Linked DNA regions of Callithrix jacchus. The protein of the gene in region 1 interacts with the protein of each later gene in a pairwise test. Links are inferred from orthologs where the notes say so. Each region holds a gene or a part of one and is shown in the gene's direction. Other genes may lie near its edges.

What was found.
Region 2: the proteins of BANP (region 1) and ZMIZ2 interact in binary tests that used the Homo sapiens proteins (3 or more experiments, as listed by UniProt). The two-hybrid records come from large-scale screens. The link is inferred for Callithrix jacchus from reciprocal best matches to the Homo sapiens genes BANP and ZMIZ2.
Region 3: the proteins of BANP (region 1) and PPIF interact in binary tests that used the Homo sapiens proteins (3 or more experiments, as listed by UniProt). The two-hybrid records come from large-scale screens. The link is inferred for Callithrix jacchus from reciprocal best matches to the Homo sapiens genes BANP and PPIF.
Region 4: the proteins of BANP (region 1) and POGZ interact in binary tests that used the Homo sapiens proteins (3 or more experiments, as listed by UniProt). The two-hybrid records come from large-scale screens. The link is inferred for Callithrix jacchus from reciprocal best matches to the Homo sapiens genes BANP and POGZ.
Region 5: the proteins of BANP (region 1) and FAM117B interact in binary tests that used the Homo sapiens proteins (3 or more experiments, as listed by UniProt). The two-hybrid records come from large-scale screens. The link is inferred for Callithrix jacchus from reciprocal best matches to the Homo sapiens genes BANP and FAM117B.
Region 6: the proteins of BANP (region 1) and LENG1 interact in binary tests that used the Homo sapiens proteins (3 or more experiments, as listed by UniProt). The two-hybrid records come from large-scale screens. The link is inferred for Callithrix jacchus from reciprocal best matches to the Homo sapiens genes BANP and LENG1.
Region 7: the proteins of BANP (region 1) and MAP2K1 interact in binary tests that used the Homo sapiens proteins (3 or more experiments, as listed by UniProt). The two-hybrid records come from large-scale screens. The link is inferred for Callithrix jacchus from reciprocal best matches to the Homo sapiens genes BANP and MAP2K1.

The regions. Positions count from the first base shown.
Region 1 is NC_133521.1:45,581,221-45,585,697, forward strand, and holds the start of BANP (protein BANP), read left to right. Parts: upstream 1-1,415; 5' UTR 1,416-1,499; exon of another isoform or gene 1,500-2,887; intron 2,888-4,477. UniProt on the Homo sapiens protein: Controls V(D)J recombination during T-cell development by repressing T-cell receptor (TCR) beta enhancer function. Binds to scaffold/matrix attachment region beta (S/MARbeta), an ATC-rich DNA sequence located upstream of the TCR beta enhancer.
Region 2 is NC_133512.1:12,835,835-12,839,640, forward strand, and holds part of ZMIZ2 (zinc finger MIZ domain-containing protein 2), read left to right. Parts: intron 1-1,186; 5' UTR 1,187-1,248; coding exon 1,249-1,298; intron 1,299-1,422; coding exon 1,423-1,537; intron 1,538-1,932; coding exon 1,933-2,135; intron 2,136-2,372; coding exon 2,373-2,556; intron 2,557-2,838; coding exon 2,839-3,099; intron 3,100-3,806. UniProt on the Homo sapiens protein: Increases ligand-dependent transcriptional activity of AR and other nuclear hormone receptors.
Region 3 is NC_133513.1:50,871,446-50,875,867, reverse strand, and holds the start of PPIF (peptidyl-prolyl cis-trans isomerase F, mitochondrial), read left to right. Parts: upstream 1-1,391; 5' UTR 1,392-1,474; coding exon 1,475-1,669; intron 1,670-3,092; coding exon 3,093-3,123; intron 3,124-3,691; coding exon 3,692-3,780; intron 3,781-4,422. UniProt on the Homo sapiens protein: PPIase that catalyzes the cis-trans isomerization of proline imidic peptide bonds in oligopeptides and may therefore assist protein folding. Involved in regulation of the mitochondrial permeability transition pore (mPTP).
Region 4 is NC_133519.1:11,336,883-11,340,688, reverse strand, and holds part of POGZ (pogo transposable element with ZNF domain), read left to right. Parts: intron 1-3,247; coding exon 3,248-3,423; intron 3,424-3,806. UniProt on the Homo sapiens protein: Plays a role in mitotic cell cycle progression and is involved in kinetochore assembly and mitotic sister chromatid cohesion.
Region 5 is NC_133507.1:123,901,077-123,904,776, forward strand, and holds part of FAM117B (protein FAM117B), read left to right. Parts: intron 1-2,013; coding exon 2,014-2,332; 3' UTR 2,333-3,700.
Region 6 is NC_133523.1:47,340,203-47,344,793, reverse strand, and holds the start of LENG1 (leukocyte receptor cluster member 1), read left to right. Parts: upstream 1-1,523; 5' UTR 1,524-1,546; coding exon 1,547-1,678; intron 1,679-2,725; coding exon 2,726-2,905; intron 2,906-3,816; coding exon 3,817-4,079; intron 4,080-4,591. Other genes in the region: voltage-gated chloride channel TMC4, read left to right, coding at 65-195, 292-447, 704-782, 877-945.
Region 7 is NC_133509.1:13,516,088-13,519,893, forward strand, and holds part of MAP2K1 (dual specificity mitogen-activated protein kinase kinase 1), read left to right. Parts: intron 1-1,517; coding exon 1,518-1,719; intron 1,720-3,714; coding exon 3,715-3,779; intron 3,780-3,806. UniProt on the Homo sapiens protein: Dual specificity protein kinase which acts as an essential component of the MAP kinase signal transduction pathway.

The DNA.
Region 1 (4,477 bases):
GTGAGTAACCCAGCCGCCAGCCTCAGTGGAACCTCTGGGCCTCATTCTGGAGGAGACTTTGACTCGGTAAGGTTGCCCATGGTCGCACGGCCTGTGACTGCGCTCAGTCCTGGTTTTATCAAGGTAAAGCCTTTTCTTCTCCCAGTGAAAACAGCTCCCTTGCCCTGGGTTTGGGAGATCAAAGGCATTCTTGCTCATTGCAAATAATTCGGAAAACAGAGTCGAGTGTAAAGAAGAAATGAAAGGCAATGCAGTCCAGTTAAACAGAGGGAGATAACCAGGAATGACATTTCCAGGAATTGCCCTATACTTTGGGAATTTTTTCCTAGGATTACCACAAATGCACATTTGCACATTTATTCTACATAAAATATAACGTGTGCACATTCGATGCCATCCTTTTTTTTTTTTTTTTTTTTTTTTGAGACGGAGTCTCACTCTGTCGCCCAGGCTGGAGTACAACGGCAAGATTTCGGCTCACTGCAATCTTTGCCTCCTGGGCTCAAGTGATTCTCCTGCGTAAGTCTCCCAAGTAGCTGGAATTACAGGACTGCGCCACCACATCTAGGTAATTTTTGTAATTTTAGTAGAGACGGGTTTTCACCATGTTGGCGAGGCTGGTCTCGAACCGGTGACCTCCAGTGATCAGCCCGCCTTGGCCTCCCAAAGTGCTAGGATTACCGGCGTGACCACGGCGCCTGGCCGCCATCACTTAGGCATGTGTTTCATGTAGGAAATGTCTAAGACCATAATCACTACTGTGTGTGCTACCCCCCCGCGCGCGCGTGAACTCAGGCCCCTCTGGACGGACAATGGGGACCCCTGACCACTTACATCTTTGGAAACACGCCTCCCAGCGCTCCGGAACCTCAGGGCAGGACTCGTCGCAGCAGCAAGTAGGACCCGCTGGGGGCGCACAGCCCACCTGAATCATTGTAACTACAAGTCCCAGCAGCCCCTGGTGCGGGGACTGGACGCCGCGACCGGAGTCCGGAGAGACTACAAGTCCCGGCAGGCAGGGTCCAGACGAAGGCACTACGAGTCCCAGAATGCATCGCTCCTAGCTTGCGCAGGGAACCCTGGGAGATGTAGTCGTTGAGGAAGCTAATGCCTATTCATTCCATCTCAAAGAAGATGCAAATTCTTCAGACAGTCCACTGAGATGAGTTTTCTCAGGCAGGCCAGGCGCGTGGGCGAAAAACGGGGGGAAAAAAGCCCTGGGAAGCCGATACCGTCGCGGGAGAAGCCAGCCTGCGCATGCTCACCGGGAGGCCGAGCGGGAAAAGTGCGCGTAGTGGGCCTCGCCGCCCGCACGCCCCGCCCCGGCCCCGGCCCCACCCCCGGGCCTGCGCGCCCAGTGAGCCTGCGCGGAGGGCGGGGGCCGAGCGTCGCGGGGAGGGGCTCGCGGCGCCTGCGCAGAGCGGCGGCTTCTCTCGCGAGGACGGACGCCATTATCGCATCTCCCCGACAAACACCACGAGAATTCCGCAGCCCACACGGTAATTGCAGCTCCCGCAGCCGGTCGCGCCTCCGCCTCCCCCTTCCCGCGGGGCGAGAGCGAGAGCGAGATCTCCCTCCTCCCTCCTCCTCCTCCTCCTCCCCCTCCCGCCCGCCGGGCCGTCCGCGCCGCAGCCCCGCCGCCGCCAACTGTCTGGGCCGGGCGAGCGCCCCCAGCTCCTCGCTCCCCGTCCCTGGCCGCGCCCCGGAAGAGGGGCTCCCGCTTCCTCGCTTCCGCACCCCCTGCCCCGCCGCGCCCCGGCGTCCGTTGGGCCGCGGCTGCCGTAGCCCGGCCCGGGGGCCTCGAGCTCCCGATCTCTGCTCCGGGGCCGCGGCGGGGAGACTGGAAAGGCCTAGAACCGCGCCCGTGCTCCTCGGGGGACCGAGGTCTCCCTCGGGGGTGGCTCCTGCCAGCCAGCCGTGAGCGACGGGCACCGTTTCTGTGCCTCCTCCATGGCTGTGGACAGGAGCCCCAGTAGCCCAGGACTTGCACGCGGAAGCCTCCGGCGCGCAGCGAAACGGGCGATCTCAGGGCTGCCGCCGAGCTCGGCGAGGACCCCAGCCCGTTCCCGGGGGCCCCCTCCTCAGCGCCTGTGTGCGAGTTCTGTGGTGCAGCCCCTAAAAAGGGGGCCGTTTGTTTTTCCCTGGGGTGCAGAAAGTAGATGACGTTCCATCCCCACTGTGTGAGCGCACTGGAGACAGTGCCTTGCTGGAGGGGACTGTGGTTTTTCCCTGAGGACGTGGCAGGGCTTGTCTTGCTCTTGGGGAGATACATCAGCCCTGAAGAACTGTGAGCAGGTGCACGAGTGTGGGCTCTGAACGGTGGCGAGCTCGCACCCTCCCCGGGGAGGCCCGGGCCGCACAGTTGATGTGGAGCCGGTCATTCTCTGTTTGGAGTTGCCTGTCTGCCCGGGAATGTACTCCAGGGCCTGATGGCGTTGGCGGAACTTGCGCTGCAATAAATAACCGATAAGAGGAGGCAGTCTTAGGGTACACTTGTAGCTGGAAGTTCTTGGGGGACAGAAAAATAGCTCGGAGTAGTGAGTGGTTCTGAGGAAGATCAGAAAACATCAAATTAAAACTAGATCTGGTCATTTCGCCCGCAGCTCGCAAATACCCAGTGCTAGAAGAAAACACCGAAACGAGGTGAAACTGTATGTAGGTGCATTTCCCCTGCCTTGCAATTCAAATAAGAATATATTCATAAGCTGCAGCAAGTACCACTGGGCAGGGAGACCTCCACCCAGGCTGCGCTGGAGGCAGTGGGAAGACGCCCAGGTAGAAGAGCATCGAGGGTCTGGCGGGGCCCATAGCCTACGGAGCTGAGCCTCGGGGCTGACAGCATTCCAGGCTGAAGGCCCCCAGCAGGCTCCGATCCACATGTTAACAGGTGATTATTGTTAATAAACAGGTGTTCTGTATTTACTTACAACTCAAGAAATATTCCAGGTAGGCAGTTGTTACCCGCTTACCACTAACTGAAAGGTCCTCTCCACAAGGGAGCCACGGGGCCAGGGCAAACTTAATGTTTCTCAGCAATGTTGGATTCTGTGCTCACTGGTTTTAATGTTTTTATTTTCTGGAGGCAGGATTTTAACTGTCTGCCAGGCTGGAATGCAGTGTGGTGATCTTGGCTCACTGCAGCCTCAACCTCCCTGGCTCAAGTGATCCTCCCACCACAGCCTCCCAGGTAGCTGGGACCACAGGTGCCACCACACCTGGCTAATTTTTGTATAGTGGGGGGGGTTTCGCCTTGTTTCCCAGGCTGTGGCTTTAATCTTTAAAAAAAAAAGAGCTTCAGGCTGTGGGGGCAGCTCAACATCTTGCATCCTTCACCGTGACCCCCACTCCATAGATGAGGTGATGTGGCTGCAGATGCTGAGGGCATGTGTGCAGATGCACAGAGCCAGGGCTCCAGTTCAGTCTCTCTAAGCTGATGTTCTTAAAAAACACACCCCATCCATTCAGTGTTTTAATCAACATAGTGTATACAGCAGCCATGTCAGTGGAAGACTTACATGAAAAGCAGTGTCCCCTGCCCCACCTCCCAGCCCCATTCTTCAAAGCCTGGTTTCTTGAGGTCCTTCTCCATAGCTCTAAGTAAGCTGGTCTTTTCATTTGTTTTTGAGATAGGATCTCCCTGTGTTCCACAGACTCTACCCAGCCCTGGTGACCCTCAGCCTCCTTAGTAGTTGTTGCAGGCATGAGCTGCCACACCTGTTGCCCAGGGTGGGCTTTAACGTGCCCTTTAAGCTGATACTTTCTTTTTTTTTGAGATGGAGTTTCGCTCTTGTTACCCAGGCTGGAGCGCAATGGCGTGATCTCGGCTCACTGCAACCTCTGCCTCCTGGGTTCCGGCAATTCTGCCTCAGCCTCCTGAGTAGCTGGGATTACAGGCACGAGCCACCGTGCCCAGCTAAGTTTTTGTATTTTTAGAAGAGACGGGATTTCACCGTGTTGACCAGGATGGTCTCGATCTCTTGACCTCGTGATCCACCCATCTCGGCCTCCCAAAGTGCTGGGATTACAGGCTTGAGCCACCGCCCCTGGCCTAAGCTGATACTTTTTTTACTCAGCCTTGACTTTGTGTTATGATGGGTGACGGATCCCTTCTGTCACATGCCGCCTCCTCCATCTCATGTACCCTGTTTTCAGGGTAGGGTCAGGTCCCCTCCTTCTTCAGCCTCTCAGCTTTTTCTGTAACCTGCACACGAGCCAGCCTGATCATTTCCCTTCTTCTATGGCTGGGTGTGTTCAGGACTCCATGTTCATGTCAGCGTTGTTCATTTCAACGTGAACCCCTGCCAGGTGCTCTTCCTCCCTGTGGAGAACCTTCTCCCTCCCTGAATCCTTTCTGATCGTCTCTGGTGTTCGTGGTGTTTTACTGTGTGCTGAAGTGTGGATTCCTACTCTGGTACTGTGACTCTGGTGGCCGGTCCTTCAGCTCTGGGGAGCTCCCTCGTCGCGTCTGAGACGGTCT
Region 2 (3,806 bases), on another chromosome or scaffold:
GCCCCAGGGGATGTCTGGGCCCACTTTGGTAAGGGGCTTGCTTGTGGCAGCGTGGGAAGGTGTGGCACTTGGAGGCAACCTGAGGTGTGGTCACTTCCATGGCTTGTTTACTCAATGGGGAGAGCAAACTTAGCATAGCACATAGAAGTCCCATGGTGCCAGCACTATGGTCCTGTGAGTGTCCACCTGCTGCATTCTTCCCTGACACACCCCCTCTGCTGCCCTTTCCTGAGCACCAGGTACCCAGAGTCGACTCAGCCCCATCTTGCAGAGTCACTTCAGCATCCCCCAAGCCTCCTGCTTAGAAACACTGGCCAAGTCATAGTCCCTGCCAGGTCTGTGAATGCCCACCCTCCATCTATTGTGTGTGTCCCTGCCTTCTCTTGTTGAGCACTCCCTGGGGGTGTCTGCCTGCCTGGCCCCTATGATCATACCAGCTTCAGGCAGCCCCCACTTGGTGGAATCTGGGTCAGTTCTGAGGTCCCCTTGCCTGGAGCCTTTCTGCTGCCCTGAGGAGGGCCCTCTTGGTGGGAGGGGCTGCCAGCCAGGTCCCGGGTTATCGGCCCAACACCCCATTTCAGGAGGTATCCTGCACTTCCCTCCCACGGCCAGGATGGAGGTTTATTGGTTGACCACTGCACTCTCCTCCTTGGCTTTCCCAGCCCCTGGCCTCCAGAAGTGCCTGTGCCCCTACCTGGGCTACTCAGGGTAGGTAAGACCTTGAGCAGGGAGTCTGCCCACCCCCACTGGCCTTCAGTCCTTCACCCCAGGGCCTTCTGGGGGGTTCCTGGCTACTGGCTCCTCTCTAAATCCCATTTTCTACAGGGTGGCTAAGATTGTCCTTGACTTTATATGGATATCCAGCCTTTGGTGTGAGTAGGAGAGTGGGGAAAGTATTTGGAATCAGGAAGGCCGTCTCTAAGGTTGATCCAGTGAATCTGGGTGGCAGGGCCTGGATCAGAAAGGGTTCATGCTGGCTGCCAGGCTGGGTTTGTGGGGGCAGAGCATCACCAGAGTGGGTGGGGTGGGCCAGTGCCAGCCTCCTCCACTGCCTTGCCTGCCGTCGGTGCCCAGGTGTCCTTTATTGAGAAAGGGGTGGGGCCTGGTGGTACTGGGGTCCTTCCACCCTGCTGAAAGGGTCTCCTGGCTGCATCTCAGCTAACATCCCTTCCCTCCTGTTGGGCAGCCAAAGCAGCTGAGTTCCAGATAAACACTGTCAGACCCGGCCTGTAGGCTGCTCCATTGCCAATGAACTCCATGAACCCCATGAAACCTGCCCTGCCCCCCGCGCCACACGGGTGAGTGTGGACCCCTCTACCCACCCCTCAGGTCCTGGGGTTGGGGGTGGCATTTCCGGAAGGTCCTGGACTCTGGACACCGATGGCTTCCGGACCCAGGCCTCAGCAGCCTCTCTCCCTGCAGTGATGGTTCATTTGCGTACGAGTCTGTGCCTTGGCAACAAAGCGCCACTCAGCCGGCTGGATCACTGTCCGTGGTCACTACTGTGTGGGGAGTTGGCAACGCAACGCAGAGCCAGGTAAGCACCCACTGGGACCCCATCCCCAAGTAGACAGAGCCTCCCAGCACTTGGCAGTGCTTAGTGCCTCCTTAAAGCTCTGAGAGGCTGAGAGGTGAGGATGGAGAGGCTGAGGCTTACATGAGGATGGGGCCTCCTGAGTCCCCTAAATCTTAGGACACTGGTTCTCTTTCCACACCTGCTGTGAGATTTTCTTCTCCGGTCTTCACCTAGCCTTCACAGGATGCCCCGACCTACCTGTGGACAGCTGCTTTCCCTGCTTCTGTGTGATACCCCGTCCCCTCCACCAATCCCCCAACCCGCTTGGCAGGACTCTTGGTTTCTAGCACTTTGGAGCTGCTGCATGAAGCATGTTGTTTGGCTGGTTGCCTTTGGTGATTCCTGCTTCCTCATAGGTTTTGGGGAACCCCATGGGCCCTGCAGGGAGTCCCTCTGGCGGCTCCATGATGCCTGGTGTGGCAGGGGGCAGCTCCGCCTTGACCTCCCCACAGTGCCTGGGACAGCAGGCGTTTGCTGAAGGTGGTGCCAACAAGGGCTACGTGCAGCAAGGCGTGTACAGTCGCGGGGGCTACCCTGGGGCCCCCGGCTTCGCCACCGGGTAAGCAGGTCCCCTCACCTGGCAGGTGTGCTAGGAGCCATCAACCTGGCAGGCACCTCAGGACTGTGGCACTGATCAGCTGGACGTTGCCTCTCTGCTTTCCGCCAGCTCCGACAGCTGTCATGGAGGGTCTAGAAAGAATGGGCTCCCCCTGGGTGCTGCATGCCTCTGGGGTGAGCATGGTCCTGGCCCTCATGAGCCCATGCAGAGAGCGTGGCAATCCTGTGTCTCCTGCAGGTATGCCGGCGGACCGGGGGGCCTGGGCCTCCCCTCACACGCTGCAAGACCCTCCACTGACTTCACACAAGCGGCAGCTGCTGCCGCAGTGGCTGCTGCTGCAGCCACGGCCACGGCCACGGCCACAGCCACCGTGGCTGCTCTCCAGGAGAAGCAGAGCCAGGAGCTGAGCCAGTATGGAGCGGTGAGCCCCCTCAGCAGCTCCTCCCACATGGCAGCCAGCCTGAGGGCCTGGGAGGAGGTATTCCTCCCGGCAGCGGGCTCCAGGGACAAGCATGGAATACGCCAGGGCTCACGAGGCCAGGAAAAGAGATGTGTGGGAAGAAGTGAGGGTCTGAGGGGAGGTTTCTGGGCTGTCCTGTGAAACGGTATGGTGCCCACCCTGGTGGGTGGGTGGGTGGTGTCTCTACCTTGTGGAGCCCTTTGTGGGTGGGGCCTAGACCATTCTTCTTTATTCTCTTCCTAGATGGGGGCCGGACAGTCTTTTAACAGCCAGTTTCTGCAGCATGGAGGTCCCCGGGGGCCTAGTGTCCCCACTGGCATGAACCCTACTGGCATGGGAGGGGTGATGGGCCCCTCCGGCCTCTCCCCCATGGCTATGAACCCCACCCGGGCAGCAGGAATGGCACCCTTGTATGCAGGGCAGCGCCTGCCTCAACATGGGTATCCTGGGCCTCCCCAGGCCCAGCCACTGCCCCGACAGGGGGTCAAGAGAACTTACTCTGAGGTGAGTGTCCAGATCACCTAGTTTGGGGCCTTGGGTACCAACTCCCTCACCCAGGCACCCTTTAGAGCTGTGGTAAAGAACGGGCTTCTGCCGGGTGCAGTGGCTCATTCCTGTAGTCCCTATACTTTGGGAGGCTGAGGAGGGTGGAGCCCTTGAGCTCAGGAGTTTGAGACTAGCCTGGGCAACAGGGTGAAACCCTGTCTCTACAAAAATTAGCCTGGGGTGGTGGCACGTGGAGCGCCTGAGCCCAAAAAGTCGAGGGTGCAGAGAGATGTGATTGCTCCCCTGCACTCCAGGCTGGGCAACGGGAGTTAGACCCTGTTTCAAAAACAAGAGTAAAGGCCAGGTGCAGTGGTTCACACCTGTAACCCCAGCACTTTGGCAGGTGGATTACTTGAGGTCAGGAGTTCGAGACCAGCCTGGCCAACGTGGTGAAACCCCATCTCTACTAATAATACAAAAAATTAGCTGGGCGTGGTGGTGCTCACCTGTAATCCCAGCTACTTGGGAGGCTGAGGCAGGAGAATCACTCGAACCTGGGAGGTGGAGGCTGCAGTGAGCCAAGATCATGCCACTGTACTTCAGCCTAGGTGACAAAATGAGACTGTTTCAAAAAAAAAAAAAGGCTTCTGCGTGTGAGAACTGCCTATGCCAGACAGTGTCACAGCAGAATCTTCAAGGGGACCAAGAAATCTTCATTCCCCCAA
Region 3 (4,422 bases), on another chromosome or scaffold:
TGCCAGAGGCCAAGCTAGCAATCTCATGAAGCAGGGACAGTGCTCTGACCTCATGAATTTGCTTGGCTAGCATTTTGCTGCCCTACCGGTTCCTATGAGCCAATTCAGGATCTGGGGCAGGTCAATCCAGAGCCAGTCCCTGCTCAAGCCCACCTGCCTCCAAGGCTCAGCCCCACCCCTTTCTCTGGCCACTCAGGCCTCTGAGGCCACTGCTCTCTGAATCTCAAACCCTGAGAAAGGTAGTCCAGACTCTGTCCATGACAGATGCCCATAGGCACAGTACTTAGTTGACAAATCCATCTCTCTCTAGTTCATTTTATCCTAAGAACAGACCTGGGAAAAAGGCAGGGTGAGGAGCGTGATCACACCCCCAGATGGGAAACTGGCCCAGAGAGGCCTGGGAACACTGTGCAAGCTTGCAGCAGGACTCTAGGGCTCCCTAGTTCTAGCCAGTGCCCTCCTATGTCCGGGCCTCAGCTTTTCCCCTGGGCACAGTACAAGTGTTGGGCCGGATGCTCTCTCAGGTCCATGCCTCGTGTCCATTTATTGCAGGCTTCCCACCACCTCGCAATGAGGATGGCTCTGGCTGCTGGGAAGCCTACTCTGGGTACATGGGGTTTAAACGCTCCTGCTGCGGATGTCCCCACTGAGTCCCCTCCCAGGGTGCATGCTGATGGGAGGGGCAGGTGGCGGTCTGAGTTAGCATCTGGCAGAGCCGTGGGGTTGGTGGGGAGCTGTAAGCGTGAGTCCTAGGAGGTGGGAGTCAGACCCAGTCCTGGGGAGGGCTGGGGACCTGGAAGGAGCATGGCAGGCCCAGGCTGCGTTTTCAGTCTTGCTGGAAGCAGATCTGGTCCCTAGAAACAACTAGAGACAGGCCCAGGCCGAGACAGGCTGCGGGGCATCATGGGAAGCGTCTCAGCTTACCTCCTCCCTCCTGTGCCTCCGGCTCACTAATCCCGCTTCTCATTTCACCTTTCTCTAACCCTCTCCGACTGCAGGACCTAGGGCGGCAGGGAAGCTATTTGGCCTGAGCCTTACCTATAAAGGGCTCAAAGGTAGACTTTTGTTATTATATTCAAATTGCAGCATGTAGACGCTCATATTTGGGAACTAATTATGTTTTAGCATTTTTCCTTTTTAAAACCATCTGCTGGTACCTTCATAAACATGGAACTAGCATCCTTTTGCCGGGTGGTGTCTGTGCTCTGGGTTCTCCCGGCCTGGAGGCGGGAGTGTTCCAAAGCAATTCGCGCCTCGCGGCTCCACCGGCTGGCTGCGCTGCCCGCCGCGACCGGCAGGGGTCGCCCACGGACAGGCCTGGAGGAGGCGGGACTGGGGCGGGGCTGCGAACTCGGCCAGGCGAATAAAGGCTGCGGCGAGCGGCCGCCCGGGACTCTGCTTTCTGGTCGCGCGCGACCTACGTTTCGGAGTTCTGTGTTCTCCCCGCCGGTGTCCCGCCGGATCCGCGCCCACGATGCTGGCGCTGCGCTGCGGTTCCCGCCGGCTCGGCCTGCTCTCCGTCCCGCGCTCTGTGCCGCTGCGCCTCCCCGCGGCCCGCGCCTGCAGCAAGGGCGCCGGCGACCCGTCCTCTTCCTCCTCCCCCGGGAACCCGCTCGTGTACCTAGACGTGGGCGCCGACGGGCAGCCGCTCGGCCGCGTGGTGTTGGAGGTGAGACCGCTCGCAGGGCTGGCCTGGGCGCCGGGCACGGGCTCGGGAGAGCCCTGGGCCCCGGGCGCGCTGGGTGAGCTTGGATCCCCCGCTTGCTGGGTTCTGGGCCTCAGTTTCCCTGTTTCTGAGAAGGGGCGTCAGATTGGTCTCTTCCGGCCTCCTTCGGAGCACTGGAGCGAAGGAGACAGGGAGGGAACGTGTGGAGGAGAAAGCTCAAGGTCAGATTGCAGAGGGGAGGGACCAGCACCCCCGGGCCAGCCCCGGGAGAAATGAGGGGCTCCAGGAGTCTTCAGGGGCTCAGCCTAGACCTGAAGCTCTGAGGTGGGTGTTGGGGGTCTTGGGGTAAGAGTTGTGGCTCACTCGTTGTGCCACTCACGTGGCAGCCCTTGTACAACGTGGAGCACGCCCTGACTCTGGCCCCGCCACCGGGTCAGGCTTACACTGGGGGGCTGGAAAATGAAACTAGAGGTGTTTTCCAGCAGTAGTGTAGGCCCAGCAGGCCTCAGGCCTTGGCCACCTGGTGGACCTCTGAATGCCCCTCCTGCAAGTCGGGACACACTCACACAGTGTGCCCCCGAGCCTCAAGCCCTGCCACCGTCCTTGGGGTCCACACTCAGCACCTGCCCTGACTCTTTCTTTGGGCCCTTTCTAAAGCAAAATAAGAAAGAGTCACCAGGGTAACTTTAGAGGGAAAGCCCTAGTGGAGGCTTCCCGCCGGCCCCACATTGACAGCAGGGGACAGTTCGTGTTGACTGGCCCGTTTCCGAGGGAGCCCTTGATATTTCTTGTTGAGTCTCAGTTACTTCTGGAAAATAGGGACACCCTTCCTGCTTCCATTTGGTTCCAGGGTGGCTCTTGCTGCTTTGAGGCTAGAGGCTTGCTGGGATGGGGTTTCAGCCTTCCCTCCCCACACCTTCATGCCCCTCCCTGTGCCTCAGTTTCCCTTCCCCCAATTGAGGAGCTGAACTGGCTTCTACCTAAGACCCGCCTTGTTGCCCTTGAGTTTCTGATGTTTTGGGCCCAGATGTGGGAGCACTTCCTCTCCCTGGGCCTCAGTTTACCATCCCCAAATTGAGGAGCTGGACCGGGTCCTACCTTAGACCCGCTCTGTTGCCCCCGAGTTTCTGATGTTTTGGGCCAGTGTGGGAGCACTGCCAGCTGTGTTCCCAGAAGTAGGCCAAGATAGCATTGTCATCTCTTCTGACAGATTAGGGAAACAAGGCCACCTCCTCCAGCGCTGGGTTCAGGAAATGGCTCACAGAAATGATAGGGCTGCCTCCCACAGGGGTTGGCAGTAACAGAAATGGAATGGCCACATGCTTCCACCTCAGCCTCTTGGCAGCTGCGGTGGGTGCTGAGAGATACCCACCTTCTCCTGCCTCTCCAATGACCATCCTCTTTTGTCCCTCTTCTCTCCCCACAGCTGAAGGCAGATGTTGTCCCAAAGACAGCTGGTAAGACAGGGCCTGGGCCTTCTGAGATGGGTCTAGAGGGAAGGGGGCCAGGCAGGGCAAGGTGGGTGGAGTGGTGAGAAGAGTTGGGGCTCACAGATCCCTGATGGATGGGAGCTCCATGTGTGGCTCAGACACTGGGTGCTCTGGGGCAGCCCTTATGTCCCTATGTGGGCCTCATCGTTGGCTCTGCCCTCCTCTTTCATAGTAGCTGGGAGCCTCAGAGCTGGTGGAAGGCACATGTAATAAATTTCCCAGAGACTTCCCCCTTCCTGGTGCCCGATGAGGCAGGGTGATGCACAATCAGTGCTTGAGTCCCTGCTCCACTGGTGCTAATACAGCCGTAAACTATACTCTTGTCACAGTGCTCAGGCACTGAGGTCAGGGCAGGGGAGTGACTGTGACTTGTTCAGTTATATAGCGAGTTGGACAGAGCCGACCCAAGATGGTGGACCAGGGTCTTTATCCCCCCGTTCACTGCTGGGGGTGTAGCAGGGATTTTGGCTGGAACAGGTATGACCCTGGAATTGGGGCCTGGCCCTGTTGACCTGTGTCTCCCTTCGACCCTCAGAGAACTTCAGAGCCTTGTGCACTGGTGAGAAGGGCTTCGGCTACAAAGGCTCCACCTTCCACAGGGTGATCCCCTCCTTCATGTGCCAGGTAAGGTGGTTTCTCCTTCTGTAAGAGGGCATGAGAGCAGGAGCTGCCTTGTGGGTGTATGAAGATGCCTGGTGTGAGGAAGGTGCTGAGCTGGCCAGCTGAATCGCTCTTTGGGCCAGGCTACCCTCCCTGTATTCGCCCTGGATCCAGGCTTCACCGCACACAGAGGCCCAGCTCCAATCCGATGCCATTCCAGGCCAGTGGCGGGCCCTGCCCAGGACGCTGGGAGATAGAGCCTATCAATAGAGGGCTGGGTTGGGGGATGGATGTGCCTGGGGGTGGCCCTGAAGGCTTTGAGGAGCCCGCATATTCCAGTGGTCTCTGACCTTGTCCCCTGCCTGCCCCTGAGCACTCGTGTGGGAGATAAGAGAGGGAGAGAAGAGGAGGAGGCGGAGGAAGAAGACGGGTCCTGCGCGGGAACACACATGCCAGAACTTGGAACTTCCCTTCCGAGGGAAAGGCATTATTCTTGGGAAGTGCATGTGTTTTTCAGTCATGTGTCATGCTCAGTTTTCACAAGCATTGGTATTGCTGTGTCAGGTTTGTGGCCAGGTGTTGGCAGCAAGAACTTCCTGGGGGTCAGGACTCAGGTGGTGTTGGGGGTGGTCCTCTATTATCGAAGACCTTTAGGATGAGGGATTG
Region 4 (3,806 bases), on another chromosome or scaffold:
TGGCTCACTGTATCCTCCACCTCCCAAGCTCAAACGATCCTCCCGCCTCAGGCCCCCAAGTAGCTGGAACTACAGGCACACATCACCACACCTGGCTGTTTTTTGTTTTTTATTTTGAGTCTTTCTCACACTGCTGCCCAGGCTGGAGTGCAGTAGCAGGATCTTGGCTCACTGCAGCCTCCGCTGCCTGGATTTGAATGATTGTTGTGCCTCAGTCACCCAAATAGCTGGGGTTACAGGCATGTGCCACCATGCCCAGCTAACTTTTGTATTTTTAGTGGAGGTGAGCTTTCACCATGTTGGCCAGGCTGGTTTCAACCTCAAGTGATCCGCCTGCCTCAGCCTCCCAAAGTGCTGATATTATAGACGTGAGCCTTGTTTTGTTTTTGTGTTGGGGTCTCACTGTGTTGCCCAGGTTGGACTCAAACTCCTGGGCCCAAGTGATCCTCCTGCTTCAGCCTCTTGAATAGCTGGGACTACTGGTGCCTACCACTGCTCCAGGCTGGATAATCCTTTTAAAGGCTTTTTTTTAAAGTACCAGAATTCTAATTGCCTTTTCATCCTCTGGAAAGAGAACCTTGTAAGACACTTGAATTGTCAGAATTCCTTTGAGCTAAGGTTTAAAAGATTGCAGAAATTATTTAAAATGCTTCTAAATAAGCAGGTATAATTTACCCAGTGTGACTTTCCATAGTCTGGCTTTTGCTTTCCATTGAATCGTGAATCTAATCTGGTCTTTGAAAACCACTATTTTCTTTGTCCCATATTTTTGGAAAAATTCTAACATTCCACCAGAATTTAGACTTGACCCTGATATAAGGGAAAATATTTGGAGAAAATGCTGTTAACATTTTTTATAATGGTATTTATGGGTTTCATGGAAACCTGGTCTGTCTGTAAGAGACTTGGGAATGCTGATTGATTTCACATAAATGCAAAAAACCTCCATCTTTCCCTTCTTGTATTTAATTGGGATGTTGAGCCAGGAATTATCTTTTTTTTTTTTATCTTCCCAAACTGGATATGATAGCCGGGAATTATCTAAATGTTTTTTAGGATTAGGATAAACGAGATAATTTATTTTCTTTTGTCCTAGCAGTTAAAACAATGACTAGAAAATCCAGACTTCTGCTTAGTCAATGTTTTTCAACTATAAATTTCAAAAGGATAGAAAGAGATGGTTGGGGAACCTGTGGATTAAAAGACTTGAGTGTTGTTCATCCATTGCACTTTGCCAACATTTTGTAACTGGATTCAGACAAACGCTTTAAAAAATGCAAATAAGTAAATTTGAATTTTGACTGGGTATTTGATATTAAATGTTCGGGAGTTATGTTGGTATGATTCTTTATCTTTTTTTGAAATCCTTATGTAGGAGGTACATTTTGAAATATTTGTAGATGATATGATCTAGAACTCGTTTTAAAGTAATATGGGAACTAGTACATGTATAGGAGGTATAGATGAACTAAGACTTGCCGTGCGTTAATAATTAACGAAGCAGGGTGGTGTATAGGGAGGGGTTCACCGTAGTGTTCTGTTTCTTTGTATGTTTTAACTTCTCCATAATAAAGCATTTAAAAGATTTTAAAAACCCACCATCAATACATTGCCAGTATAATTTAACATGGATAGAACTTGCTGGAATTCTCTGTTTTATTTGTCTAGCTGCCTCTACAATCACTAGTCTTCTGGCTCAGTAACTGAGGGTCTAGTCTACTGATGAGCTCTCAGTTTCTGAGAGAGTGTGAGATGAGCCACTGCTGGCCCATTAGTAGCCACCTACATACCTATTCCTTTGGTGGTGTAGCTTTGTAGTTAACTGTGGTGATGGACCTGCCAAGTGGAATGTACATTTCAGAGGGGCCTGTCCTATTCTGGTGATTTTGGGTAAAAAGTTGAGACAATATTTTGCTTAACTCTTTGGTTTTTTGTTTTTTGAGACAGAGTCTTGCTCTGTTTCCCGGGCTGGAGTGCAGTGGCACAATCTTGGCTCACTGCAACCTCCACCTCCCTGGTTCAAGCAATTCTGCCTCAACTTCCCAAGTAGCTGGAATTACAGGTATGCACCATCATGCTCAGCTAATTTTTGTATTTTTAGCAGAGACGGGGTTTTGTCATGTTGGCCAGGCTGGTCTTGAACTCCTGGCCCCAAGTGATTCACCTGCCTCACTCTCCCAAATGCTGGGATTACAGGTGTGAGCCACTGTGCCTAGCCTGCTTGACTCTTTCGCCTAGGTATATTGGCTCTCTGAAATTCTCTATCTGGTTTTGAGTATTCTTTGTATATCAGGAAACTTAGTGTTGATTTTTGTTTTCACCAAATGTCATGAAATAGGGGACTTAAAAATATTTATGAAATTATTTTCTCACAAATGAAGAGTTGAAGATATTTCAGTAATAGCCCTGTTTATTCATATTTTTATTCATGAATGAATGATTATCTTCTGAAATCATGTCATTTTTACTTGGTGTGGGTTAGTTTTTGTCTGGGTCTTCTGTTTATCAGCCCTGATGACATGCAGAGAAAGGTGGTAGGTAGCCTGTCAGTCTCTGGGTCCCCTTCTAAAAGACAGTGGTTGCTTAAAGAATCTTGCATTTCTCAGATTTAACTTACTAGGAAGAGAAACCATTCTTCAGATTCTGTGTACTTGCTGAATTAATGTTTGTTGATGAATATTGTTTTTAAAGAATTAAGGGGGATTAGCTAACAAATTATATTCTAATAAAATAGGTTTTACCTAGTTAAAATATGGAAAAAGACTTAACATATTTTGTTCTGTGCTGATTTGGTGGGGGAGATTATGTGTGGTCACCTTAAATCATGAGAGTCAAGGTGATAGTCACATAGAATTCTAATGTGTCTTTCATCCCCAGTTAAGACATATGGGTGAAATGTTAGTGAACCTCCCCTACCCATCTGTTTTTCTGTTAGTTGTAGATTTGGGTGAAGCTTAAATTTTTGGCGAGTTTGGTCACATTAAACATGGTGAGTGTCAGTCTTGGATATTTTGGCGTCTGGGACATCATTTCTGTTTCTTACAAAATGTGGATTTGTACTTGGGAGGCTGAGGTGGAAATATGGCTCAAGCCCAGGAAGTTGAGGCTGCAGGGACCCATGACTGTGCCACTGCACTCCAGCCTGGGTGACAGAGCGATATCCTGTCTCAAATAAATAAAATAAAATGTAGGTTTAACATTCATTGTTTTTAACGTTCCTTTTTTTTCCCCCCGCTTAACCTTTTAGCTGGCAACCCTCTGGTCCAGCAAGGTGGACAGCCGCTCATCCTGACCCAGAATCCAGCCCCAGGTCTGGGCACAATGGTTACTCAACCAGTATTGAGACCTGTTCAGGTCATGCAGAATGCCAATCATGTGACTAGTTCCCCTGTGGCTTCACAACCAATATTTATCACTACGCAGGTGAGTAGGACTCTGAATTTCAAGGTTTCTAGAGGAGAGAAAGAATATGAACCTCTGAAAGCTCTGACTTAGGGTCTTTAGCACCATTAGTAGTAGTTCTAAGTCTTGTCTTTTGACCTTACTTTCTCATTTACCGTTCTGTAATTTGATGCTGACTGTGGAATGCCTGGTATAGCATGGTTGGGTAATATCCTCTTTAAACCCCTTAGAAGTTTATTAAGAAATTTGATTAAAGTCTAGGCAGAAATTAGTGGGAAAGCTTGGATTAGGAAGCCTTAACCCTTGGCTCTCGAGACTTTTCACCCTTTGCATGGACTGCTCCACTTCACATGGGATGAATTAGTTAACTTTTGGAGATGTATATATGTCATTGGTGGAGTTCA
Region 5 (3,700 bases), on another chromosome or scaffold:
CCACGTGTCTTAAGTCATTTTTAGGAAGATAAACAAATAAGTCAGTCAAAAATCTAGGCCTCATTTGGATGGAAGTATTAAAATTAACTAGACTTTTCTTTTTCTACAAGAAGTTTTTCATTCTACAAATATGAAAGTTTACTTCAATAATTCTGTCTGCATAGGAAAATTCAAGCATTATTTAATTATGAAAACATAACCTCAACTTCCTCAAGTTCAGTATATTGAAAATCATGTTCTCAGATGATAAAAACAGAAGAGTGTGTGTTGTTCTTATCAGTAACATATCCAAATATGCTTGTGGCACTGAAAGTATTCAAATTACTAAGTTTTCATTGTAATCAACAAAGAATAGTGCCCAAGTAGAACATAACTTACATGATATATTTTTCTTTGTTCTGAACTGTTATATTTGCCAAAGCTGTCCATAGTGTTCACTATTAATAAAACCTGCCCCCCAATCGTTGTCTACTTGGAACACATATTTTTTTGGTGCCCACTCCCCATCTGCTGTTTACTCATTCTTCAAAACCCAGCTCCGAGGATGACTACCAAACCCTCCGTCTTCCTCCAGGCCCCCCATGCTACCTTTAAACCTTTTTGTAAACCTTTGTTATCACCTGTTAGATTCTCTTGTCGAGGTCTTAACCTCTTCTGTGCTCTGGACATCTTTGGCAGTCTGTCTGGTAAAGCTTGTGGATCTCATCTCTGAATAATGTTTTAAATGCATAATACACGCAAGATTATAAAGGAAGCTAATTATGTTGAAACAGTTCTGTCCCCATCACTCTTCACCCCACAAGAACTATAAATTTAGTCCACCTCCTCCTGTGGATTGTTTCAACTTTGTGTTCTCAGAATTTAGTGCATATTTGGCACACTTAGATTTTTATTGAACTGATTTAGATTTGTTTTATTGAGACAGGATATTGCTCTGCTACCCAGGCTGGAGTGCAGTGGCCCAGTTATGGCTCACTACAACCTCCACCTCCCAGGATCAAGCCATTATCCCACCTCAGCCTCCTAGGTAGCTGGACTACAGGTGCAGGCCACCACACTAGATAATTTTTTTTAAGGTTTTTACAGAGATGAGGTCTCACCATGTTGCCCAGGCTGGTGTAGAACTTTTGGGCTCAAGTAATCTCCCTGCTCAGACTCCCAAAGTGCTGGAATTACAAGTATGAACCACCACGCAGGTTGACTTAGATTTTATTGTCATTGGAAGAGAGGATTGATTTAGGTTCTTCTACCTTAATTTTGCTTTAATTTTGTGGCATTTCTATGTTAACTTTAATAATGTAGTTTTTTATACTTTTAATTTTCATGAAATATCATTAATGCCAATATATTTTTCAACAATTCAGGTTAATTTTCAGGAGGACCTAGGACAAGGGAAGAATTTGCCTTTAATAAAAACTTTCAAAGCAAAGGAGTTTTTAATTTTTATTTCACATTTACATTATATTGCTCAGAAAACTATCATGGTTAACTCACAGAATTGTTTCAATCAAAGAGATTTTTATAAGCACTTGAAGAGAAAACCCATGCCTACCATAATTTAGTCATGCAGTGGTGGAGCTTAACAAAAGACAGACATTGTATGTCTTCAGTTTCTTTGCTGTTTCCCTCCAGTATACTACAGACCTTAGAAAAATTATGGCATCTTTAAACATCTAGATTTTCTTTCATTATAGGAAATTTATTATTCCCTTGATTGTCTTAGCTCTTCATTCACATGCAGTGCTCATCTGCCTGAGCCACCTGCGTGGTAACGGGGCTGTTGAGGGAACTGAAATCAGCAGTGATGATGGGGACTTCTTGCACTCTGAGATGCATATGTTGAATCATATGTCAGATAGCACTTTGGTCCTTGGTGTTTGCAGCTTTTGATTGAGCTTGAGTTTTATATTCCTTTTCTGTGCTGTAAGTTAACTGTGTTTTAAAAGCTTGTTTCCAAGCTTCTTTTTTAAGTTCAGTGACTAAAAAGCATTGGGTTGTCTGTTCTGTGTTTAGGCCAAAACAGCTTCATGAAATCCCAGCCTTTTATTGTCCTGACAAAAACAAGGTGAATTTCATTCCTAAAAGTGGATCTGCTTTCTGCCTCGTCAGCATCCTCAAGCCACTCCTTCCCACTCCTGATCTTACACTCAAGGGCTCTGGCCACAGCCTGACAGTCACCACTGGCATGACCACCACTCTGCTGCAACCTATTGCTATGGCCTCCCTGTCTACAAACACAGAGCAAGACCGAGTCTCTCGAGGAACAAGTACAGTCATGTCATCAGCTTCTCTGCTCCCACCACCAGAACCAATTGAGGAAGCTGAAGGATAGGTCACAGTGCTACGTGGCTCTTGTTCTGGGAAATTGGGAACCTCCTCAGATCACTGGATTCTGATGGCATCGTGCGCTTCTGGTCAGCTGTGATGTGCTCCAGCTTTCCAGTGACATGTGATGGTGAGGCTTCTGGAAGAAAGGACCCCCTGTGATGGCTCTGCCCCACTCGTGTACGCCAACCCTCAGTGCTTAGCCTGCTTTTTATCAAAGCACTGATTGAAACAAGAAAGGTCTCATTCTTTATCTTTGAAGAGACAATATCACATTGTTTTCGAATTAGACTTCTTTAAAACACACACACAACTGTCGACAGATAGTAGACACACACAGACACACCCTTGCAAACATGATTCCTAAAGGGAGATGTGACTGATGCTGCAAGAACCATCTTTTCTATGAAAATGACTATTTTATAATATACCAATGTTACATTTTCTGAAACGTAGCAAAACAGGATGTTCAAAAGATTCTTTGGTGGCCTCTGTTTCTTGTTCCTTTCTAGATGTGTGCTTTTCTCAGCTGTTTTCAGCTTTGGGACCAAAGGGATTGTTGACGTTTTCCCAGCAAGAGATTAAGGATTAATCTCCCAAACAAGGATTGATAGGTAAATGCATTGAACAAGTATATATAAAAAGAGATAAAAAGCAATATTTGTATATTATGTGATTTATGTTTTTTGATGTCAAAAGTTTGTGCTTTGGGTGAAATATTTGTATAACTGCTGTTTTCTTCACTATACACATTTCACCTTGTGGTCAGAAAATTGTAGTCTGAAGACAAGTGCTTTAATATGTTCTCACCCATATTGGAACTTGATTTAAAAGTCAGTGAGCCAAAAGGAAACTATCCAGTGTTGATTGCTAGCTAAGAGTAAGGAGCCCCATTGGTTTTCTGTGATATATATACACACACACATATATATATATATATATCACACACTCTCCCTTCCTCACCACAGGTGTCATTCTACCTTTAATCATCACTGTATCATAGCCCCAAGAGATCCTGAAATGGCTGTGCATGGATTTCCTCCTTTGCCCTTGTGATGTTGTTGTCTTGTGGATTTGGTTGGGCTAGTAGTTTGCCAGGAGTGTAATCCAGTGGATAGTGATCCGAACCGTAGCCGCAGAATCCTGTGACTGACATTTTCTTTGTGGTGGTGGTTGGTCTTGAGATTTGTTGCCTACAGATTTTGCTAATTTACTCCCTAACACTTCGCATAGTGGGGAAGATAGACAAGAAGAACTTGAATATGAACGATAAGCACCTTTGAAACCTCCATAAAGTTTTGGATTTGGGCTCATCCTAATACAAATCACTGCCAATATCACATGGTATCAGTATTTGATTTCTGGGTATGTGGTA
Region 6 (4,591 bases), on another chromosome or scaffold:
AAAAAAAGGCAGGAGGCACAGACCGTTGTTTCAGATCCCCTTCCTCTGTGCCTTCCCCTGCCAGCTCACCCTCTTCTTCACCTGCTCTCCGGCTGCCCGCACGTTCCGGGCCTCCACAGCGAATTTCTTTTTCCCCCTGGTCCTTCTCCTGGGTCTGGCCATCTCCAGCGTTCCTCTGCTTTACAGCATCTTCCTGTAAGTGCGAGAGGCTCCTGCCTCTTTCCCTCCCTCTCCCTGCGTTCAGCGTTCAGACTCCTGGCTCTACGTGAGCCCAGCCTATCTTGACTTCAGGATCCCACCTTCTAAGCTATGTGGTCCATTCCGGGGGCAGTCGTCCATCTGGGCCCAGATCCCTGAGTCTATTTCCAGCCTCCCTGAGACCGCCCAGAACTTCCTCTTCTTCCTGGGGACTCAGGCTTTTGCTGTACCCCTTCTGCTGATTTCCAGGTGAGTTTGCCCAGACTTCTGGGTCTGGGTTTGAATGCACGTGATCTGGGGGCCACCACCTGCGTCGGAGAGAGGAGAGGCTCGGGGTGGGAGGAGGCCTAGGGTCCAAAGGAGGAGGAGGAGGAGGGTGGGACTTAGGACTCCTGGGCTGGGAGACTGAAGTCCTTGTAGATGACATCCTGGCTTTGAAGGAGCCAGGGGTTTGTATAGAATGGAGGAGCGTGTCAGGAGTGGCTTCTGTTCGTGTCTCCTCCAGCATCCTGATGGCGTACACTGTGGCTCTGGCTAACTCCTACGGTCGTCTCATCTCTCAGCTCAAACGTCAGAGAGAGACGGTGAGCCAGGCGGGTCCCTGAGAGGGACCCCGTGGGGGACATTGAAAGGCATTGGGGGAGAGGGCTGTCTGACCTCCACCTCTCTTTGCCTCAGGAGGCGCAGAACAAAGTCTTCCTCGCACGGCGCGCTGTGGCGCTGAGCTCCACCCACCCGGCTTTTTGACCCCTGCAGCCCATGTCCCACCTTCAGACTCCAGGCCAATTGTAAGCCTAGGTCACATCTGTAAAACTAGGAGAACTAGAGAAGACCCCACGCTCTTCCAGCTCTAGGATCTGGAGGTTTCCAGAGACCCTCGCCGCCACGTCCCAGACTCTCGGGTGATCTTTCTTCTATGAATAAACACAGCCGAGGTGACTGAGCGCGCTTTGAAATCTGCGTCCTGAAGGTGGGGGCAGGGCTACATCAGGGCGGGAGCCAATCAAATGCATGGGAATGTGTGGCCGTTCGAAGTGCTCTTCCGCAAGGAGACTTGATGGTTGTGTTGGCCAATCGGCGGCCGAATCTGGCATTAGGGGAGGGCCAACTTGCGATTGGCTCGGATATGTGAAAAGCGGTTGCTAGGGGATACCACGCGCCAAAAGCCTGGCATTCGCTGAGATAAAGGGCGTCTTAGCCAATCACCTGTCGTTACAGGCCAGGGGGCCGTACCAATGAGTTAAGAACCAATCTGTGGTCGAAGTAGGGACAAGAGGGAAGGGGCATTCTCTCGCCAATCGGAAGTGCAGAGAGGCGGGCGTGCCAGTCCGTGGACTGCTACGACGCCATGAATATCTTGCCCAAGAAGAGCTGGCACGTCCGGAACAAGGACAATGTTGCCCGCGTGCGGCGTGACGAGGCCCAGGCCCGGGAGGAAGAGAAGGAGCGTGAGCGGAGGGTGCTGCTGGCTCAGCAGGAGGTAAGCCTGGGAACCGGCCGGGCGGAACTCCGGGGCCCAGCGCGCAGGCGCCATGGTAGGGGGCCGGAAGTGGACGCGTTGCGCAGGCGCCGTGTGCCCCGTATGTAATTCGTGACCCGGCGCGGACCTCTTTTCCGAAACGTTGCTCGGCAAACGTTGTGCCCACTTGCATGAAATCTCCCTTGATCGCCCCCTCGTCTTGTTTCCCCCCACTGATGTATTTCACATGGCTAGAGCAGTGTCTAGCACAAAAGAGAAGCATAAATGTTTACCGAATTCAGGATTCCTTGGACAGTTTGAGGAAATTCGGATCACTTTCTAGTTGGCTTGCACAGTCTATTTATTGAGCAGTTACTGTATGCTAACTGCATGCAGAACGCCTGACTTCCAGAATCCCCCTTAAGCACCGTTCTTTCTTAAAGAGGCATTGTCATCTCCGTGGCACGAAGTGAGATGGCGTCAAGGGAGGGGAAGTCTCCACCCCCTTGGGCGAGCCCTTTCCCTGCACCACCCCCAGACACACACACAAACATGGGCTTTATGTATAGCTCCTTAAATCTGTTTGGTGTACACCTAACTTTCAGTTCCTTAGCCAGTCTGATCCTCCACACTGGGAGGGAGGTAGTCTGGGTTTTTAGAATCTCAGTAGGCTGCTGAGAGCTTTGTCCTGAAGGTGGGAGACCGGGCTTCATCAATGGACTTGGGGTAATGACTTGGAGCCATGCCTGGAATCCAGATCATCTGACCTAATGCAGTTTGTTCTACCTTTATAGCTGTTTTAATTGTCTCACTTGAGGTTAGGAACCCCTTTGGTTTAGGCCAGGGACCTCCTCCCAGCCATCCTTGATGTGTGGTTTACTATTTGAAAGGCAGTTTACAAAACCCAGGTGTTGCCTTATCTGCCTACCCTCACCCCTGCTAGGACAGGTGCCCCCTTTCTTACAAACCCAGCACCCTGGACTGCTGTTTCCTGTGGTGCGCACCAGACTTAAAAGTTCTTGAATTACCTTTAGGTTTTTAATGTCTTGCCTGTAACTTTCTCCCCAGGCCCGTACAGAATTCCTACGGAAGAAAGCCAGACATCAGAACTCACTGCCTGAGCTTGAGGCAGCAGAGGTGGGAGCCCCAAGTTCTGGCCCTGTGGACCTGTTTCGAGAGCTGCTGGAGGAGGGGAAAGGCCTGATCAGAGGCAATAAAGAGCACGAGGAAGAAAAGCGACAGGAGAAAGTAAGCTGGCCTTATCTACTTCATCAGAGACATGAATGGAGCTGGGGGGAGGGACACTTTAGCCATTGGTTGTGACTAAGGCTAAACAAGAGTGAACACTCAGAATTTAGAACCATACCAAAGCACACTCAGAAGTGGTGGCTGTTGCCATTTGGGTGCCCTCAGGGCTTGGAGGTAGATGCTCGAGATCCCCAGCTGCTAGGTGAACTGCTCAGGTCTCCAAACTGGAGGGGTCTCAAACCTGATGAGCTTTTAAAAATCTAAATCAGCTTGGTGGTGGCTCATGCCTGTAATCCCAGCATTTTGGGAAACTGAGGTGGGCAGATCACCCGCGGTCAGGAGTTCAAGACCAGCCTGGTCAACATGGTATCTCTACTAAAAATACAAAAAAAGTTAGCTGAGCATGGTGGCATGCACCTTTAGTCCCAGAGGCTGAGGCAGGAGAATCGCTTGAACCCAGGAGGTGGAAGCTGCAGTGAGCTGAGATCGTGCCACAGCACTCTAGCCTGGGTGGCAAGAGTGAGACTCAATCTCAGGAAAAAAAAAAAAAAAAAAGTGAATCAATCACTTCTTGCCTTTTGGCTAAGATCGAGTGTAAAAGCTCCTGTTCCTCACCTGCTGTCTCTGGACTTGCTGACCCCACCCACGGGTCCTCTTGCTTTGCTTGCTCCCTGCAAAGATGCCTGCCTCTGAACATTCAGGCAGCTCCACCCCATCCCCTCCTTCCTCTGCTTTCTGTGACTGTCCCTGCTATCGTCACCCCAGGGCAGGAGCTTGGCCTCTGCTGGTCTCTTCCCTCCCCAGCACCTGGCACAGCTGCTTCACCATAGGCCTTAGATACCTGTGTCAGGGAGATAAACCTGACACCCTGAAAGATTATATCCCATCTCTTTTATTTCCTGACCCCTCAGGAGAGACAAGAGAAAGCTCTGGGCATCCTGACATACCTGGGCCAGAGTGCAGCCGAGGCCCAGACTCAACCCCCTTGGTACCAGCTCCCACCAGAGCGAGGGGGTCCCCCGCCTGGCCCAGCCCCAGATGAGAAAATAAAGAGCCGCCTGGACCCTCTGCGGGAGATGCAGAAGCATCTGGGGAAGAAGAGACGGCACAGCAGTGATGAAGGCAATCACAGCAGAAAGGAAAAGGATGGCTCTGAGACACAGCGACCCAAGGGGTGAGGAGGAGGACCCTGCCCTGGCAGAGCAGGACCCAGATCTTCAGGGCTTGGCAGCAGCCTGGCACAGGCACAGCAGGAGCTCTGGGTGGAACAGCCAGGGACCCCGTGAAGGGATGGCTGGGTGGAAAAGTGGTTCTCACCATGTGGTCCAGGGAGCCCTAGGGGTCCTGACTCCCTTTCCGGGGGGTGCCGTGGTGTCAAGCCTATTTTCCTAACACTGTTTGCCTTTCACACTCATTCTCAGGCAGGTAGTGCAGCTTTCCAGAGGCTACATGATGAGAAGACACCCTCACTGTGATGACTAATGGCAGATACTTATGTCCAAGTTTTCTTAGTTTTCACTTCTGATTTGCATGATATTAACAGAACCCATTGAAACAAACGCTCTTGGGACCCCCTTTTTAAGAGTATAAAGGGGTCCTGGGACCAAAGAGTTTGAGAACCACTGGGTTAGAGAGTAAGAGCAGGCTTCTATCCCCAGGATACTGTCCCGCCGCCTGTAATCTTTT
Region 7 (3,806 bases), on another chromosome or scaffold:
CCTTTGCACAGCACACCCTCATTTGCCTCTTAGGGAGGATTTGGCACCTGTGTCCAGATCCCAGTGTGAACACATCCTCATTCCTTCTTGCTGGCGCCTGCCCCCCACTGTGACTCCAGGCACTGTCAACATTACTTACCTGGCACTGACCCACATCTCCCCACCCCCAGTGATCCACAGCAGAACTCTCTTTTTCTGTCATCTCCTCACTGCTTCTTCCCTAAATGTCTAATAGAACAGCTGGCATCCTGGGCCATTTGACTGCCAACTCTCAAGTTCAAAATCCTTTAACAGGCCCTGGGACTCACTGATCAAGGGTTTAGTGATTTGAGTTTTTGTGATTATATGGTCAGTTCCAAAATAGTCTAGTGTTGGAGTTAGTGAAAAATGCTACGAGAGAAGTTAATGTCTAAATGGATATACTATGGCCAGAGTAAAGATTTTCTTGGTAGGGTTCTTGAAATACGTGCTATTTCAAATAATGCTCATTAAAAATAATGCTTTTGTATACCACTGTATACTTTTTTTCTCTTTGGCTCTTCCCACCAGTATCAACTAATATTTGTATAACATTCTGCAACATCTGACATACATTTTCATTTGATTTGATCTTTTTAGTAACCCTAAGTAGAGTTTTGTTATGTCAGTGATAAAATATTAGTCATTTTCATCAGCAGCTCCCATTTTTTTTTTCTTTCTTTTTTGTGACGGAGTTTTTGCTCTTGTTGCCCAGGCCAGAGAGCAGTGGTGTGATCGCGGCTCACTGCAACCTTCGTCTTCTGGGTTCAAGAGATTCTCCTGTCTCAGCCTTCTAGGTAGCTGGGATTACAGGTGCCTGCTACCATGTCCAGCTAATTTTTGTATTTTTAGTAGAGATGGGGTTTCGCTATGTTGGCCAGGCTGGTCTCGTGACCTCATGTTATCTGCCTGCTTTGGCCTTCAAAAAGTGCTGGGATTACAGGCATGAGCCACCACGCCCAGCCCAGCAGCAGCCCCATTTTATAGATGAGGCTGAGATTCAGGATCCTTTAGCTTGTAAGTGGACTTAAGTCTCAAACCCACTGATCCTAGATCTTTTGTTCTCTGTATCCACAGCACCACCTCATTCCCAACCCGAGTTCCACAAGCTTCATGTTTCAGATTCAGTAACAAGATGAACCTCTCATGCTGGGCTTTGGACAGGCTTCCCTGCCCATGCAAGACAGTGGCCAAGCTGGGTAAAGCTAACCATAGGCTGAAGTGGCAGCCAGGCCCAAGCCAATTCATGTGGTCTGTTAGTTTAGTCCAGATTATAGGAGAGATAGAGCAGGGAGGAGGGGTCAAAGACAGTGGTGCTAGCTAGGATTTAGTAAACAACAATATTTGGGGGCAGGCAGGAGGCCAAATTCAAGAGATTAGTGGAGCTCTTGAAACAGTATATTAACTATTCAGAAGGGACAGAAGGGAAAATGCATTAGCAGATCCAGGGGTCCAAGTTAGGTCAGGTGATTATAACTGTCTCTTTGTCTCTCCTGCAGCCAGAAAGACTCCAGGGGACTCATTACTCTGTGCAGTCGGACATCTGGAGCATGGGACTCTCTCTGGTAGAGATGGCAGTTGGGAGGTATCCCATCCCTCCTCCAGATGCCAAGGAGCTGGAGCTGATGTTTGGGTGCCAGGTGGAGGGAGATGCGGCTGAGACCCCACCCAGGCCAAGGACCCCTGGGAGGCCCCTTAGCTGTGAGTAGCCTCGTGTGTCCCCACCTTGGACTGTGGGGGTCCCTTACTTTCAGGGATTTCTGGAGGGCTGATTCTTCGTACATTTTGCCAAGACTGATTCTGTGTCCCTGGATGCCACACTAGGGCAGGGAGAAACAGCAGGGGTCTCCAGGTGGGTGTAGGAAAGTGTTATTACCAACAACTTCCTACCATTTGTTCAGTTCCCAGTATTCTGGGAACTGCACTTAGCATTTTGCATACATTATCTAATCTTTTTATTTAAGAATAATGGTCTTGCTGTGTTGCCTAGTGCAGTGGCTAGTTACAGCCTTCAACTCCTAGGCTCAAGCAGTCTTCCTCCCTCAGCCTCCAGAGTAGGCTGGGACTACAGGCTATAATTTATTAGGGGGTTTGGGAGGGAAGGGGCTCACTCTTGTCACCTAGGCTGGAGTGCAGTGGCATGATCACAGCCCACTGCAGCCTCAACCTCCCAGGCCCAAGTGATCCTCCTACCTCAGCCTCCTGAGTAGCTAGGACTACAGTCACATGCCACCACACTCAGCCAAGTTGTTTTTTATTTTGTAGAGACATGGTCTCCCTATGTTACTCAAGCTCAAACTTTTGGGCTCAAACAATCCTCCCGCCTCAGCCTCCCAAAGTGCTGAGATTACAAGCATGATCCACCATGCCTGGCCTCTAATTTGTGGTTTTTCTTTTTGGATACTGGGTTTTGCCCTGTCACCCAGGCTGGAGTGCAGTGGTGTGATCATGGCTTACTGCAGCCGTGACCTCTTGGGCTTAAGTAATCTTCCTGCCTCAGCCTCCTGAGTAGCTGAGACCACAATGCCTGGCTAATTTTTTAATTTTTTAGTATAGATGAGGTCTTGCTATGTCTAGGCTGGTCTGGAACTCCTGGGCTCAAGTGATGCTCCTGCCTTGACCTCCCAAAGTGCTGGGATTATAGGCATGAGCCACTGTGTTCTAATTCGTTTTTTAATCATGACTTTTGGTAGATTTATTTTTTATTGGAATAGAATTCACAGAAGACAAAATTCACATTTTAAAGTATGTAGTTCAGTGGTTTTTAGTATATTGTTCCATGTTGTGCAGCCATCACCACTGTCTTATTCTGGAACATTTACATTACCCCAGAAAGAAATCCCATCTCCCACTCCCCCCAGCCTGATCCCCGGACAACCACCAGTCTACTTTCTGTGTCCACGGATTTGCCTAGCATTATGTAATTTTAGTAGCATTCCATTTTTGAACATGATTATAATCTCCATTTTAAAGATGAGGAAACTGAGGCACAGTGCACTTGTCAAGGCTACATAGGCTTGTAAGTAGCCAAGTCTGACTCCCAGGATGATAAACGCTGTGCAGAACCACCTGCCTCGCTGAACGTGAATAATGGGAACTAAGCCTGGTACTCAGGGAATAGCCTGACCCAGCCATCTGTTTTTTATGTAGCTCCTGTCTGGGTAGGGATACCTGCCTTTACCTCTGTGAGGTCCACATGAGAGAGAGCTTGTATGAAGGGGAAAGCAGAGGGGGCTAGGGGTAGCTTGTTCACAGGTCATTGGAGGGCCTGGTGGCTGTGGCCTCTGAGGCTGGCCTATGATTCTAGGAGACAAAAGGAAGAAACGCAGGTTCATGGAGAATTAAAATTAAGGTCTTTAGTTATTTAGCTGCTCTCTCATTTGCTTCTCTCTCAACAGGAGGAGGAGGGAAAAGACAGACAAAATTATGATGCCTGTGCTTTACAAAACTCAGAACTTTGGCTCAGCAGTGAACTGATTTGCCAAAGGTTACAAACTTAAGATGTGGCAGAGCCCAGACTTGTACCCTGGCCTTTGCTGGTCCCCTCTCTGTTCAAGCCTTACCTGTGGCTGTTTAATCTGTTTATTGTCCATGACCCTGTTCTGGCCCTAGGGATCCATGCCCAACCCCTTGCCTCATATTAACAAGTAATCTCCTGTTTCTGAGAAGTATTTTTTCTTTTTATAAAATTTGTAGCATATGGAATGGACAGCCGACCTCCCATGGCAATTTTTGAGTTGTTGGATTACATAGTCAATGAGGTAAGTACTGCCTGGTTTCCTTGACCT